Oreochromis niloticus: one gene and its partner. The protein of the gene in region 1 interacts with the protein of each later gene in a pairwise test. Links are inferred from orthologs where the notes say so. Each region holds a gene or a part of one and is shown on either strand. Other genes may lie near its edges. The genes, in order: sec16b and sec13.

Evidence for each region.
Region 2: the proteins of sec16b (region 1) and sec13 interact in binary tests that used the Homo sapiens proteins (3 or more experiments, as listed by UniProt). The two-hybrid records come from large-scale screens. The link is inferred for Oreochromis niloticus from reciprocal best matches to the Homo sapiens genes SEC16B and SEC13.

The regions. Positions count from the first base shown.
Region 1 is NC_031986.2:31,135,430-31,143,360, forward strand, and holds the start of sec16b (protein transport protein Sec16B), read right to left. Parts: upstream 3,188-7,931; 5' UTR 2,635-3,187; intron 2,565-2,634; exon of another isoform or gene 2,537-2,564; 5' UTR 2,521-2,536; coding exon 2,258-2,520; intron 2,007-2,257; coding exon 1,915-2,006; intron 1,819-1,914; coding exon 1,716-1,818; intron 1,201-1,715; coding exon 998-1,200; intron 928-997; coding exon 776-927; intron 1-775. Other genes in the region: gadd45ab (growth arrest and DNA-damage-inducible, alpha, b), read left to right, coding at 4,004-4,053, 4,357-4,458, 4,558-4,765, 4,973-5,086. UniProt on the Homo sapiens protein: Plays a role in the organization of the endoplasmic reticulum exit sites (ERES), also known as transitional endoplasmic reticulum (tER). Required for secretory cargo traffic from the endoplasmic reticulum to the Golgi apparatus.
Region 2 is NC_031970.2:4,864,309-4,872,097, forward strand, and holds the start of sec13 (protein SEC13 homolog), read left to right. Parts: upstream 1-4,531; 5' UTR 4,532-4,744; coding exon 4,745-4,747; intron 4,748-4,946; coding exon 4,947-4,991; intron 4,992-7,378; coding exon 7,379-7,494; intron 7,495-7,789. Other genes in the region: cand2 (cullin-associated NEDD8-dissociated protein 2), read right to left, coding at 1-153, 869-1,012, 1,998-2,065. UniProt on the Homo sapiens protein: Functions as a component of the nuclear pore complex (NPC) and the COPII coat. At the endoplasmic reticulum, SEC13 is involved in the biogenesis of COPII-coated vesicles.

The DNA of each region.
Region 1 (7,931 bases):
GACAGCAGACAAAACAGAACTAAAACCACGGTGGAAAAAATGTGCCACATCAAGTAGAAATATAAAAAATATATTTGTAGCTGCTGAGTAGTGGAAAACATTATTACAGTGTATTTCTTTTTTATTGACTTAAAACTAAAAAAAATTGTGCAGCAAAGACTTCATTAAATCAATATTCACCAATTAATAACCCTAACTACTCTGTGACATAAATGCTTTCAAACTCACAGAGTTTTTAGGTTTCCAAGAAACCATTATACATACTGATGTGTGTTACATGTTTCAGGGGAATACAAAGCAACAACAGAAAAAAATAATGTATTCTGTATGTATTTATTGATTTTATTTGTTATGGACCCGTGTGTTTCTTTAATAAAGTGAAACTAAACTAAACAAATGAAAATGCATGAAATAATAATATTAATGGCTTAATTATCCCTGACATGAGCAAAATAATTACTATTGTTCTGTCCTAGTTTGAGGTGTTAGCCTTATATAAGTATTTGAAGACAGATGGCTCTGAAGTGGCTCATATATATTCCCAAAAGAAATACCTCTAAACTTTACAATGACAGGATTCTTACAAGGTGAAAGTCGAGGGGATTTTGTGAAATCCTTTCCAACAGACCCAAATCCATCCTGTTAGTCTGACTATAGTATACCTTTAGGACCCTTAAGGTCCATGAGAGTGCTATAATTTTCATAAGGTAAAAGATTAGTAGTATCCTCCATGAAAATCTGTTGCTTTTTTTAAACAACTTGACTGTGAACCTACCTCCAGACTGTGGATTTCCAGGTGGCTGACATTCTCCTGTGCTGACAAGCCTGTAGTGACCCGAATCAGTTGACCCGCAGGCCCAAAACTGACAACAGCATGAGGGATTGAGTACTTCAGAGGAGCTGGCATCTGATGCACATGTGCTCGGTCTGAGGAAATACAAAGCTTTAAAAAAAAAAAGCAGAGACGATGTGGACGTGAGAGGAACTGCGTGCTCACCTCCATCAGGTTGAGGGGCAGCGTCGCTGTGTTCGGCTCCATTCATGTACTGACTCAGCTCATAGCTGCTGGAAGATAACCCTGAGTTTTTGGAGCTTTCTAATGTCCCAAGGTAAAAAGAGGAAATCTCTTCATTGTCTCTGGAGGGATTGTCCTCAGAGTCATTGAGGTAATGCTGAGAGCTGTCTCTCACCTGGTTGTACCTGAAAGAAATGCATTTTCATGTACATTGCTTCCTTCTTTACTGCAAGAACACATAGCAGTTAAGTCTATGCTGTATTCGTGTAACTTTCTTGCTCACAGAATTTGCAGTGATTATTAGACAGACTGTAATGCAGGAAGTATGTTTGTTTTTTAATAAATATTTAGGCATTAATCGTTTATACTTGCCTGTTTGTTGAATTCTTGTGTACACATTCTCCTCTAGCTTATTTCTACACCCACAATATTGATCAAGAGTGACCATCTATCACCACAACATATTATACTGAAACCTGTAATATCCAACCCCAACATTATAGGTTTTCTTTTGCTTTTTATTATTTTGGGTTTTTTTTGTTTTTATTAAACCCTTCATACAAACTATGTAGTGCTAGAGAACCGTTTAACCTGTCAACATTTCTGGATGTACCTCTCTCTTTTGTGCAGGTATCATTTTCACAGTAACATCAGATAGCAAAGGCATTGGCTTTGATAGAAGTAGAGTGCACTGACCCACCTGTACTCCTCAGTGTTCACGCTTCCTAGTTGTTCTTGGTTGTGTGCCCTGTCATGGTACCGATCTGCTCTCCGTGGTTCTTGAGGACCCCACTGGCCACCATCTTAAAAAACAGCGTTACACATCATCCCATTTCTCTTATACAGAGCGTAGAAGATGACTTTAAAAAAAAAAGCTTGGCTGTTTTGTATCACTACACCTTGTCGTCCATGCTGCCCTCTGTAGTAGTCATAATAACCATAGCTGTCTCTGTAGTCCCAGTGGCTGTAAGGTGGATAGTCATAACCATGCCTGAAAATAAAGGAAAATCTTAATGAAGTTATTACATTTGTGTAATTCCATCATCTGTGATGCACTGCATATCCCAGCATGCACTGTTAGCAAGGACAGAAACCTACACTCAGCTCAGTGTTGGAACCAGGCCTCTTTTACCAACTGTTGTGCAACCTTTATCCCACATTGCATTCATAAAACACACTAATAATACCCAAATAATAACTCCAGTTTCGTAGCCAGTTGGGGTCACTTGCAACTGTACAAACCTGGACAGAGGTCTTTGGTGCTCAGGTCCATACCCATACTGATACTGCTGACTGGTGTATGGATAAAAGTCAGGTCTAGGCAGAGGGAAATGAGCATTGTAATGGGCATCAGGATGGCCCCAGTGCCTGTCCCTCTCTCTGAGGTCCGGAGGTGGATAGAGCTGGTCCCTTTCCTGCTGAGAGTAGCTGGTGTATCCCTCTCTGTCTTTTGTTCTGTGGGAATGACGGCCTGAGTCCAGCCAGTAGTGACCTCTGTGATCCATGATGACCCTTTAACACCTGCGGTAAAAAAAAAAATGGGAAATGTCTGCAATCATTAATTCGCAGTGTAAAGTAAAATCAGCAGAAAGAAAGTTGCAAACGTTTGTTATACTTACAGCTCACACATCCCAGCCGCAGTCAAAGTACATCCACAAATGCCACATCACTCCATGGGAAACTCACAACATGAGCTGATAACAAGAGGATAAAGTTCACAAAATACTGTGACTCATAAAAAATGTTGTCTCGGTGCTCTGGAGGTGAAATCGGAGTAAATCCAAGTGCGAGGAATATATACACACACATATATATGCATAGGATAATTACATATTAAACGGATTAAAAATCACACATAAGTGCACATTCCTTGAGCTCCGTTGTGTTTGCATTGTGTATCTCAGTGATCTGAAGGTAAACAGTGGAGCACGCCCTGAAGAGTTTGACAGCTGCAGTTCCAGGGCGCTGTAAAAGAGGAAATCACGTCCATCCTCGGGATAATCGCAACAAAAACTATACTGACCTTCTGGTCTACGTCAGCACAACATGACAAACCGTGCCTTCGACTGTAGGTTGCATGTGCAGAAAAAAGCGCAACTTTGAAATGTTAGATCTTGCCACGTTGCCGGTAGGCAGGATGCAGATGACGGTCAGCTGGTCTCCGATCAGATTTAGTTTTCGAGACAGCGAAAGCGTCACAGCCCAACGTTTTTTCAGAGTTTTAAAAAAGTACGCCTTACTTACCAGCAAAGGCGCTATATCCCACATTTCCTTTCACTCGAGTCATATATTTACATCTTCTATCACATGGTGCTGCAGATGTGTAGGCTGCACATCCATGACGTGAATCTTGCGCTCTATCACATCCGATCTGTTTGATTGAGATCTGGTGACTGTGGTGGTCATTTAAGTGCGGTGAACTTACTGTCATGTTCAAGAAAACATTGTAAGATTTTTGGACATTTTAATATTGAAGCCAGAAACTACTTTGCACCGTAAAACGAAATCACTAAATGTTAATGTTTTGAATCTGTATTTGTAAAATCACATAAATGCATTTGGGGTCTATTTGTTAAAATGAATATTTACTGGGGATTTTTTTTTTTTTTTTTGGCAAATTTTCATAGAAGCTATGACATGTTACTTTCTTACACTGTGTGGAAGTGAAATAAAATGTTGCTGTAATTCCGAAAATGCCTCGTGATTACTGACGAATTGGTTTTAGTATATTTCCAGAAACTAGTTCTGATTATTCTCATATTAGTCATTGTTCAGTTATGGCCACGGGATGTCGCTTTCTTCTAAGAACAGGTTCAATGTGAATCATGTGACCAGTCATCCACAACTGGGTAGGCTTTATGCAAATGAGTTCTGCGTACACAGGATTTTTACTACTGGAACCCGGACGCTCAGAGCACAGCGAGAGTCTCACTAGACAACAGAGGACGCACAGATTCCGCTCTGGATATTATACCAAGACCCGGTTGGATGTGCAATATGACTTTTGAAGATACCAGTGGAGATAATTCAACAGAAAGGTTAGCTTTGCGTTGAACTCTGCATTTTCCTTTAATTTAATTCTGTTTTTAATACGAATTTAGAAACTTTTTGTTAGAATTATTGGTTTGCAGATATAATTGCACACTGCCCGTTGTGACCGACATTCAGCCCTATTATATTGAGCCCTCTCGCGGTTCTTGCATTTGTATCACACATGCAACGTTACATGAGCTGGCATTCATATATCACGTGAACGGCGGTAGCTGGAAAATTGGGTCATCAAAGCTTAAACTAACAGCCTCACTGATCATGCGTGTTCTGATAAACTTTTGTTTCTTTAGAATGGACTCGGTGGCTACAGCGTTAGAGGAGGTCCTGAGCTCTGCGTTGCCTCAGGGTTGCATCACTGTCGGAGTTTATGAAGCAGCGAAGTCACTTAATGTGTAAGTTAATAGTAAGCTCGCTACTGCCGCACTAGAAAAACTAGCTGGGATGAGCATGAAGTAGTAATGTTTGCTTTACTTTTTCCTCATTGCTTTTAGGGATCCAGACAATGTGGTGTTGTGTCTACTGGCCACAGATGATGAGGAGGATGTGGCTCTGCAGATTCACTTTACCTTGATACAGGCTTTCTGCTGCGAGAATGACATCAACATCCTGCGTGTGAGCAACATGAGGCGTCTGGCAGAGATACTCGGCGGAGTGAAGCCTGGAGGAGAGCCAATGGACTTACACTGTGTTCTAGTTACTGTAAGTACTATTACTCACGTCCGTTTAGTTTAAACCTTGGGAATATTGCTCATTTCCCTTTGAGCAATCAAATGTACCTGGGGTTTATTGCTTCTCGTTTCTGCTGTCAGCACTTAGAGGGAGTTGGCATCAGTTATGCAATCTGAATTATTATTTGCACGTTTCGTAAATGAACAGATGGTAACCGCTTTGCCCTTTCCTGTGCAGAATCCTCAGTCATCCCCGTGGAAGGACCCTGCACTGAGCAAGTTGAACAGATTCTGCAGAGACTGCCGGTGTTTGGATCAGTGGGTGCCTGTTATCAACCTTCCTGACCGATGAAGCTGCTTGGAATATTAATGTATTGTGTGCATTGGGGAAAAAGTAACTGCCTAAGGCCTGTGTTAATGTCTGTGTTGGACTTGATTGGAAAGCGCCCCAGAGAGAGAGAGGTGGAGAGAGAGCGACTGGAGAGTTAGGGGAAGGAAGGGGAAAAAAAGAGCGTTCCAACAAATTTACCAGGTCAGGGTGAACTTGTGGGCCAAGGAAGAGTGACTCAGCTGTCTGGGTTCCCGGATTTTCTAACGTATGACTGCGCCTTTCTCTGCCGAGAAAGAATCCTTTTCGAGGAAACGGAATCATGTGAGCATGGAGCACACGTGGTGCCGAGCACAGGCGCATGGACTGGGGAAAAGCCGACAGAGTGTCTCAGCTGACAAGACTCCAGGAACTGGACCACACCAGAGTGGATCAGTCATCTGTCAGCTTGAGAAACTTCTCATGAAAATTTGACCAAATTGACTCAGCATTTCTTCAAGAGAACATTTAATTAATCTTATTTAAAAACTTGTCACTTTGATAACTCTGATAACTCAAAAGGGAAAGTTTTCACAGTTGATTATCATTATTATTATCATTATTATTATCATTATTATTATTATTATTATTATTATTATGGACAATACAATGTTTGTCCGGTAACTTGTTGTTATGTTATTAATTTAATGAGTTATATTTATTGTGCATAGTTGAAAAGATTGTGCCTTGAAAAGCTGAATAAAATAACATTTAAAAAACAGTTCTCGGATGGGTTTTGCTTTGCCTTGTCAGTAACTACTCCATCAGTGTACTTTTAGAAAATCATGCATGAATTTCCCGACATTCGGAGTTGGAGTTTGTTGTGGCATGTCACAAGGGAGGTGACACGTTTAATTATTTACTTGGCATATGCTTTCGCTTTTAAGGAGCCTGTGTCTTTTGCATTTCAGCATAGAGCCAACCTGTTTAGGAGGGTGTACAAGAAAGACTGAAGTGGAGTAGCTAGCATGTTTTTGGTAATCCACATGGTCTGAGAAGGAACTAGAGTTGTGCACCTCATCTGGGCTTTGTCTCCCAGCTTGAGAAAAAAAAAATCTAGCCTGTGGCAGAAAACTGGGCAATTACAAGTCTTTTCAGACCAGATCAGCTGGCTTTGAAATATGCTGCAGGCATGAGGTTTCTTGAAATAGTTTACTCCTGCATGGGAACCCTAGTAAATATTGACCTTTTGCACATCTTTGAGATCTTATTACACAAAGGGGTGGAGAATTCCCATTGTAGTTGAATCTAAGTGGGATTGGGCTCATTGTGACAGCTCCTTCTTCACACCCCTCTGCATTTACGCAATCACTGCTAAATTTACTGCTGAGAGAATTAAAAATAGCAGTGAGGCATGAAAAAAAAAAAACTGTTGAAGACCCCTTTCAGGCTGTAAAACGAGAAAACCAGAACTTATTGGTGCTTGCACAGAGTGAGAAAGGACAAAGGTTTCCACACAGAGGGTCACGAGACAAAGGATGCATGAGTCAGGGCTATTCAGGTCTATTGCTAGAGCTGTACAGTACTTTAGCTTTATGCCTAAAAATAGCCACATGAATAGAGGCATACCCTCTGACCACCGACAATAATAGTTCTTGTAATTAACATGCAGTGTACGCACAGAGACTGACCCGATGAAGAGATGTCAGTTTGCAGGCAGGGATATCACAAAGACAACATTCCTCTCAAGTGGAGGGATAACAGATGGGGAGGGAAAACTGGGTCAAAAAGGGACTGGAAGACTGAGGAGGAATGTGGGGTATGACAGAAGCTGCATGGTTTGTGGTTGTGTTAAACTGACTGCAATAAACAAGAAAAGTTTGCAAATCTGATAAACTGTATAGAGGTCTGTACATGTAGATAACGTCAACCATAGAATTTTTAGATCTGAAGGGGTTTTTTAGGTTGTGAAACAATATCAGAAATAGTAGAGTCTGATCTGTATGACATGACACCTCCTGAAAATCGGTTTGATCGCTGAAAGGCCTTCCTGACACTGAGGGAGGAGCTTCTAAAAGTAGGTGAGATACTGGAGATAGTGGATTATTGGCTTATCCCAGGGCTTCTTCATTACCAGGTAACACTATCACTGCAAATGATGCTGCTACAAAAGCCAGCCATGTAAGTCATCTGACTCGAGTGGAGATTACATGAATGTGGGCCAACAAATATGGCCTGACCTGATTTTGGATGTAACATCACACCTGAGAAGACTGAGACAGGAGATAAAAGGGTGCTCACCGAAGTAGGGATTATTGCATAACATGGTACTCATGGCTTACGGGCATGTAAACAACTTTGCTGAGAAATTGGAACAAATTAGAACAATCAAAAATGTTTGTGCCTGTGACCCGATTCACTCACCCACTTGTCTAAACACTGTGACTTGTGATTCAGACAAAGGAGTAATATTCATGCTGTTACAATAAGACATTTTCTATATAATTACAGTGGTGGGCGTGCATATAAAACAAGGTCAAACTCTCAATTAATGAGGTCAGCAACCCCTCATAGCCAAAAGCTCAAGCTCCAAATTGCTTTAAATGCTCGATATCAGGACATTTTTCTACTCTCAGCTCTACATAATGTCAGTGAGAGTGGATATCCCTACTATGAATTTTTTAATGTCAGGAACACAGCTACAGCTACAACCACAGCTGTTCAAACCCTTCTGTTTACAAGGGGCAGCCAATCAGAAGATAGCTTGCTTAAAGGTAGGACAGTTTGTTTTAGATGTTGGATTCACTTAAGATCTGCACCAAGGCTCAGTCTAAGAAAAATAAGGATCATCATGAACTTTAAATGATGAAAACCTACTATTGTAAGGTCC
Region 2 (7,789 bases), on another chromosome or scaffold:
GAGGATGTGAGTGGCAGCTCAGCGATCACAGTCTTCAGTCCCATGCTGGAAATGTCCCTCAGCTGCTCTTTGTCTGACGTCATGTTTGAACACAGCACGTCCACCATCGTCTCCACCTGGGGCTCCTTCACTTTGCTCACCAGAGGCGCCAGGCTTAAAAACAAACACACCATGTTAAAAAATGTCGTAATTTTGTATCAAACCACTATTGATTTAAATAATTATGTAATAGAAATATGACCTGTAGTATCTAACCATGCACTTAACTGCAAACACAAATAGGTGGCTACCTAACACACACAGCCTGCTACACAGACACCATCAATACTTCCAGTCCAGCATAAATGAAGGTACCACTCTCATTTTAGTGCATTACCACTCTTATCTTTATTTAATTCAACTTCAATTCAGTTCAATTCTATTTTATTTATACAGCGCCAAATCACAACAACAGTCACCTCAAGGTGCTTTATAGTGTAAGGTAGACCCTACAATAATACATACAGAGAAAAACCCAACAATCACATGACCCCCTATGATCAAGCACTTTGGTAATAGTGGGAGGCTCCCCACGCTGAACTTTGATATAATGTTGTGACTTTCCATTACCTTTATTCAACAGACAAAAGTCACCAGAAACAGACTCTCAAGTAAATGGGAGTAGATGATACAGCAAAACTTAAAATAGTCTATAACTCAAGGGTTAGGTAAAAATGCAGCCCTCTGGTGGTTAAACTTAGCTAACCCTTCCACAGAGGATAGTTACAAAGAGCACCTTTGTAGGAATCCAAAAATAAATCTGGATAAATAAAATACAGTTTACATGAACTAAACCGGTTCACACTGTGCGTACGAGTGTGATTTTTACCATTTCACAGCCAGGTTCTGCACCTCCCCATTCTTGTCTTCCAGCAGTTTGAGCAGCATGGTCACAACTCTTCTCTCGCTGTCCTCGTCCAGCTTAATGCTGTCCTTCTGCAGCTCCAGCATCAGGTCATTGGTGGCCATGAACCTGCACGCACACACACACACACACATAGAGACCAAAGTTAATAAACTGATCTGTGAATCCCTTCAGTGATCCTTCTTTTCATTACTGCCTCAAAAAAGGGTCAAATAATGAATTAAGTGTATCGATTTGTTTAGATGTCTATTTATTCTTTAATTATTAATCCAGATTTTCAATTGTAACATTTAATTAGATGCTTTTTTCGCCACTTCTGTTACAATTGTGGTCTTTCAGTAAAGATGTGCACATTACTTGTCCAATAAATATTTAACTCATCAATTCAATGACAACAAGGAGAAAGGTAGAGGTTGGTATATTAAGTAATTCAAATCTATACTTGTGTTGTTGTTGGCTTATAGATGTGTTAATAACACTCAAAGAGTTATCAAAACATGTAAAACAGTTGCAGAATATACTTTCCTTGGTCACACATGACAGTAAACCCAATATGTGTTGTGTTAAAAACATCTCCAAAGATATTTTGCAATGTATTAAAAGATTTTTAAGACAAAATAAAACAATAACAAAAATCTCCAACATTCTTGAACCTACTGCTATCTACCTGGACAACAACGACTCACTTTCTCAAAATATAAAACAATTTAGATCATGAATTTATCATGTTAGCAAAAAATCCCTACTTCCAATTTCTGAAATTGAGTATTTGATGCTTTAAAAAAATCACAGCCGACACAGGGTTAGGGTTAGACAGATATTTACAAACATATTTTGATAATGATTAAATTAGTCAATAATATTAATATAACATTTGGAGTTTTTTATGAAAACGTAACCTTGGTTAGGTAAATTTGTTAAAATTGATTTTTGTTTTCAGGTAGAGAAAACTAATAAATGATGTGTCGATTAAATAAAAGTAATTAAGACTGTATAGAGGGCACTATTGTCTCCTGTGTGGTAAAATGGCACACACAAGTCGTGGTTTTAAAAAAGTGTCATCTCACTGTGAGAACTGCTCACTGTTTCTTACCTGAAGTCTTTGTCAGTGGAGGTCATTTTCTCCAACAGGTTGGAGATGTGGTAGGACACACTCGACATCTTTCCACTGTTTAGTCACTCAGGCTGAGAAAAAGTTTTTTTTCTACGGTAAACTCAGAAAACTTGCCACCAGATTTAAGCCGACAACATGGCGAGGCTAGGGGGGGCAGAGAGGAGAGCTGACGGCCCGATGGAACCCGACACTCGGCGTGCCCGGACAAAAATAGACGGCAGGGGACAGTGGTTCAGCTTTGTGGCGCCGCCGTGTGGACACACGGAGTCCGACCGGCCATACGGAGGCGGTAATGTGCCGATAAACCGAGTTTCAAGTCTTATTTTTACGTTAATTTGCCGAAAAAAACGCCGACGGTTATCGGTTAGTATTAACCGTTTGGAATTTGATCCCACCTTTATTGATAAACAAATTCAACAACAATTACAGTACCCGTTTAGATTTTTTTCTCCTCAACTTTATTGATAACTAACACATGCAGCAAAAGTTTGGGTTAACTGTGTTCTTCACCTTTCCTGGCAACGATAATAATAAAAATAATAATAATTATTATTATTATTATTATTAGTAGTAGTAGTATTATCATTATTATTCAAAAACAGAGTCATTTGACAAAAAAAGACAAACTTAGGACAAGAAACAGACCATATTTAATGAAAGAGATATTTGTATATTATACATACAGTTAAGCCCATAATTATTCATACCCCTGGCAAATTTTGACTTAAAATTACTTTTATTCAACCAGCAAGTTATTTTTTGACTGGAAATGACACAGGCGTATCACAAAAGATAATAAGATGATGTACAAGACGCATCATTGTGGAAAAAAATATTTCTCAGCTTTTATTTACATTTGAGCAAAAAGTATCATGTCCAGAATTATTCATACCCTTTACAAACTGTCACAGTCTCTGGGAAAATCCAAAGTTCCATACCATTCCAAATAGTCAAAGCTGTTCTAAAGCATCCTAATTACCCTGATTAATTGGAAATAGCTGTTTTACTCAACTCAACAGGTGAAAAACAGCAGCTCTCTGCAGGTGGTCTGTGGACATTCATGGCTAAGACAAAGGAACTCAGTGAGGACCTGCAGCTGTGCATTGTGGCTGCTCACAAGTGAGGAATGGGCTACAAGGCCATGTCCAAATGTTTTCAAGTTCCAGTGGCTACAGTGCAAAGTATTATTAAAAAATACAAGATGTTCCGCACTGTGGAAAATCTCAGAGGACGTTGTCGGAAGCCAAAAGTGAAACCTGTGCTGGCCAGGAGGATAGTGAGAGAGGTGAAAAAGAATCCAAGGATCACCACCAAGGCCATTCTGGTGAATCTGGGCTCTGCTGGTGGCAATGTCTCAAGGCAGACAGTCCAACGGACACTGTTGGGTTCCACGGATGCAGACCAAGGAAAACGCCACTTCTCCAGGCACTTCTAAGGCATGCCAAAGCTCGTTTGGCCTTTGCAAATGCTCATCTGGACAAAGAAGAAGGTTTCTGGTCTTCAGTGTTATGGTCAGATGAAACAAAAATTGAATTATTTGGTCACAATGATGTTGCCTTCATTTGGCATAAAAAAGGAGAAGCCTTCAACCCACAGAACACCATCCCCACTGTCAAACATGGTGGTGGGAACCTAATGCTTTGGGGGTGTTTTTTAGCCAATGGACCATGGAACCTAATCACAGTAAACAGCACCATGAAAAAAGAGCAATACATGAAGATTCTCAACAACAACATCAGGCAGTCTGCAGAAAAACTTGGCCTTGGGAACCAGTGGACATTTCAGCACGACAATGACCCAAAACATACAGCAAACATGGTGAAGAAATGGTTAGCAGACACCAACATTAACGTTTTGCAGTGGCCTAGCCAGAGTCCTGACTTGAATCCAATTCAGAATCTGTGGAGGGAGCTAAAGATCAGGGTGATGGCAAGAAGACCGTCCAACCTGAAAGATTTGGAGCTCATTGCTAAAGATGAATGGGCAAAAATGCCTGTGGAGACATGCAGAAAGCGGGTCTGCAATTATAGGAAGCGTTTGATTGCTGTAATAGCCAATAAAAACTTTTCTATTGATTATTGAGAAGGGTATGAATAATTCTGGACATGATACTTTTTGCTAAAATATAAATAAAACCTGAGAAATATTTTTTTCCACAATGATGCCTCTTGTACATCGTCTTATTATCTTTGGGGAGACACCTGTGTCATTTCTGCTCAAAAAAGAACTTGCTTGTTGAACAAAAGTAACTTTAAGCCAAAATTTGGCAGGGGTATGAATAATTATGGGCTTAACTGTATATATATATATATATATATATATATATATATATATATATATATATATATATATATATATATATATATATATATATATATATATGTATATACATATATATATATGTATTTGTATGTTCCATTCCATTCAAAAGGAGAAAATGTAACTTTTTGAAATGTTTTCACTAATCTAGGAGGGATCGGATTTTAATTTATTTAGAATGTGTTCATATTTAGCTTCTAAATAAGGTTAAGGTTAGCTCGTCAGACGCTTATGCGGAACCCTTGTTTACTGGTTGTTATTTCCGCCGGTATGATGTGCGGTGGGACTCGGTGGGAAACGGTTATCTTACTTGTTGCCACGTCGGAGTAGTCGGTGAAGCCGGGTTTCTTTTTTCTTATAAAGGAGGATTACTCGTGTTGTTCGGGGTTTCTGTGTCAGTCACGGTCATGGTGAGTTTGATAACTTTGCATTTAGGCCACCGGTGAAGCTGCTCGCTGACGTTTGTGGCATTTTCCCGGTTACCGTTAGCTGCTGACGTGCCCAAGTCCTAGTAGCTCCTTAGCAAAGTGGCTAGTAGTAGCAGGAAAATCAATGAACATTTTAATTAATGTGCAGTATTTGTGATTATATAATGTTTGTTCATTTCAGGTTTCCGTCATTAACACCGTGGACACCTCTCATGAGGACATGATTGTAAGTTTTCCAGTTTTTTTCCCCTTTTTTATTTAACCCAAACTAGTTGCTAATCACAGCTGATGTTAGCCTTCTTGTTTTAAATACCTGTAAGTGAGCTTTTACGCGTGATAACTAGAGATACAAACATGTGTACAATGAAACGTCAGTAAGTATTATCACTGTAACGTGTCATCCATTGTCTTTAAACCCAGTTGTAACAAACTAACATTGCTGCGATCTGACACTGCTAGCTGATCATCAGAGACTGATACTGTTCTTTTAGGATCATTGTCCTAATTCATGACCCTCTTTCAGTTTTAGCTCTCGGACTGATGACTTCACATTTGACTCTAGAATAAAAAATATCTGGGGGTTTTCTTGGATAACAAAATTAGATTTGAGAAACAAATTTATTCAGTTGTTCAGCGGTCCTTTTAAAAAAAAAAAAAAAAATTAAGGCTCTTATTCGAGGTGAGATTATTTTTATCCTTTAAAAACTTGGAAGGAGCAATCTATGCGTTTGCCTTATTTCAACTGGATTACTGTAATTCGCTTTATGTTGGTGTCAGTCAGTCCAGTTTGGCACGGCTCCAATTTGTACAAAATGCTGCAGCCTGTCTTTTGACTCGTGTGAAGAGACACCAACATTTTACCCTGGTGCTTGCTTCCCTTCATTGGCTTCCAGTGCAAAATGAAAATTAAATTTAAAATCTTACTTTTGACTTAATAAGTGCTAAATTGTCAGGCACCAGACTATTTGTCTGACCTTTTGCAGCTTTATATGTCCTCTAGAGGCCTTTGATCAAGTGATCATTTACTCCTTACCTTACACAAGTCTAGGATGGTTCATAGAGGGAATTGGGCATTTGTGGTTGTGGCATCGAAAACGTGGAACGATCTACCTCTCCACATTAGAAAGGCCCCAACTGTCAGTCTTTTTAAATCCCATCTTAAAACATATTTTTTCGCTTTGGCTTTTTATACTGCATGAGAGTCACCAATTCTTTTTATCCTAATTTTCTTTTAATTTTCTTACCTGTTGTTGATGTTAATGCCACTGTTTAATTATTACGTTGTACAGCACTTTGGTCAACTCTCTGTTGTTATTAAATGTGCTTTATAAATAAATAAATAATAAATAGAATACTTTGGTATACAGAGGAGTTTATGGTCGACTTGTAACTGCAGGGTTTCCATGTGCAGTGGCTGCACAGCAAGCCCAAATCGGCACCTCTTAACCATTTTGCTGAGTTTGGTTTTCACCAGACTTCTACACCTGATCTTGTCTGTCCAAAGAACATTATCCCAGAAGTGCTACCATGTTCTTTAGGGAGAGATGAGGCTTTTTCCAAGCAAACCAGACTTGTTCAGTTGTGCTCTCTTGTGCATTTAACCGATGTTGGCCGATACATGTAGCGTCTCATAGAAACAATAGGGTGTACTAAGTTTATTTTAAAGATCTACTTAAAGTTTTTTTTAAACTGACTTTTTTTCACATGACTTTATATGTCACTATGTTTCATAAAGTCCAGACTACTATACTAAATTACATATAAAAGAACATTTGAGTTGATTAAATTAACAATAAAACCAGGATTGTCAGTGGGTGACGACACACAGCAGAACATCATCAGCCCACTCTGAACCTGTTTTGTGTTAATTCACACAAACAGTGATTTTCACTGTTGTTTGTGATCATTAAGTCATACATGATAAAGCACATTGAGCTGAGCTCCATCTTTGGCAAAGGCTATTAAAATAATAATTTCAGAAACAAATCATTAACAACTTGCCACTGATACCCTGTGACTGTTGCCACAGATACATTTGAACTTGACTTAGCTTTACTTTTGTGCAGGTTATAAACTGTAACCTGTACATTTGCTGTAGGACTTTTGTGTTTTACACATGTTTATCTGAAGTAACACCTCAAAAACATGAAAGGGACACAATAACATTAACTAACTGAAGAGGGCAGTGGTAGACCAACATGTTCAATGAGGTAACGACACTGTTTGTGTCAAAGCCGGTTTTGAATACAGTACATTCATAGATATGGCTTCATTTCCCTGTTGGAAAGGACAGTCCGGCTGCTTTTGGCTGCTGACTACAGCCACTGAAAGCACATTATTTAGATTTAAGGCTGATTCTCCAGCAAAAGAAGATGTGCAAAAGCTCCTCAGTATCCGAACTATCCCTTTTAAGAGAATAAAGTATTTTCTTTTGACTAAATCATTGTTGCAGCATTTATCCTTTTTATTTTCTGTTAGATGATGTTTAAACTGAACAATCACCATGAGAATGAAAATATTAATAAAATATAAAATAATAAAATATTGTTTAAATTGAAAGGTAGAGGTGGAGGTTCTCACTCAGGTTTTTACATTTTGCTCTGTCTGTTTCAGCACGATGCCCAGATGGACTACTACGGGACTCGGCTCGCCACCTGTTCTTCTGACCGCACCGTCAAGATCTTTGACGTCAGAAACGGAGGGCAGATCCTTGTGGCAGACCTCAGAGGGTAAGAAGTAGGGCTGGCTCATATCTAGGGGTGCAACAATACTCGCATCTATAATGAACCGTTCGATACAGTGCTTTCGGTTCGGTTCGCATATGTATCGAACAATAGAACATTTTTTATTTATTTTATCAACTTTTCTTTTGATGATGCTGTCTGTGTTGAGCGCTCAGTGGATTTGCACTGTTGAGTGCAGATCCACTGAGCGCAGCGGAAGCTAGCAAGACAGAAGCTAAGTTCGTTGCAACATGGCAACTGCCTCAAAGCTCCCCGAAATTGAACCTCCCCCACTGCTGAG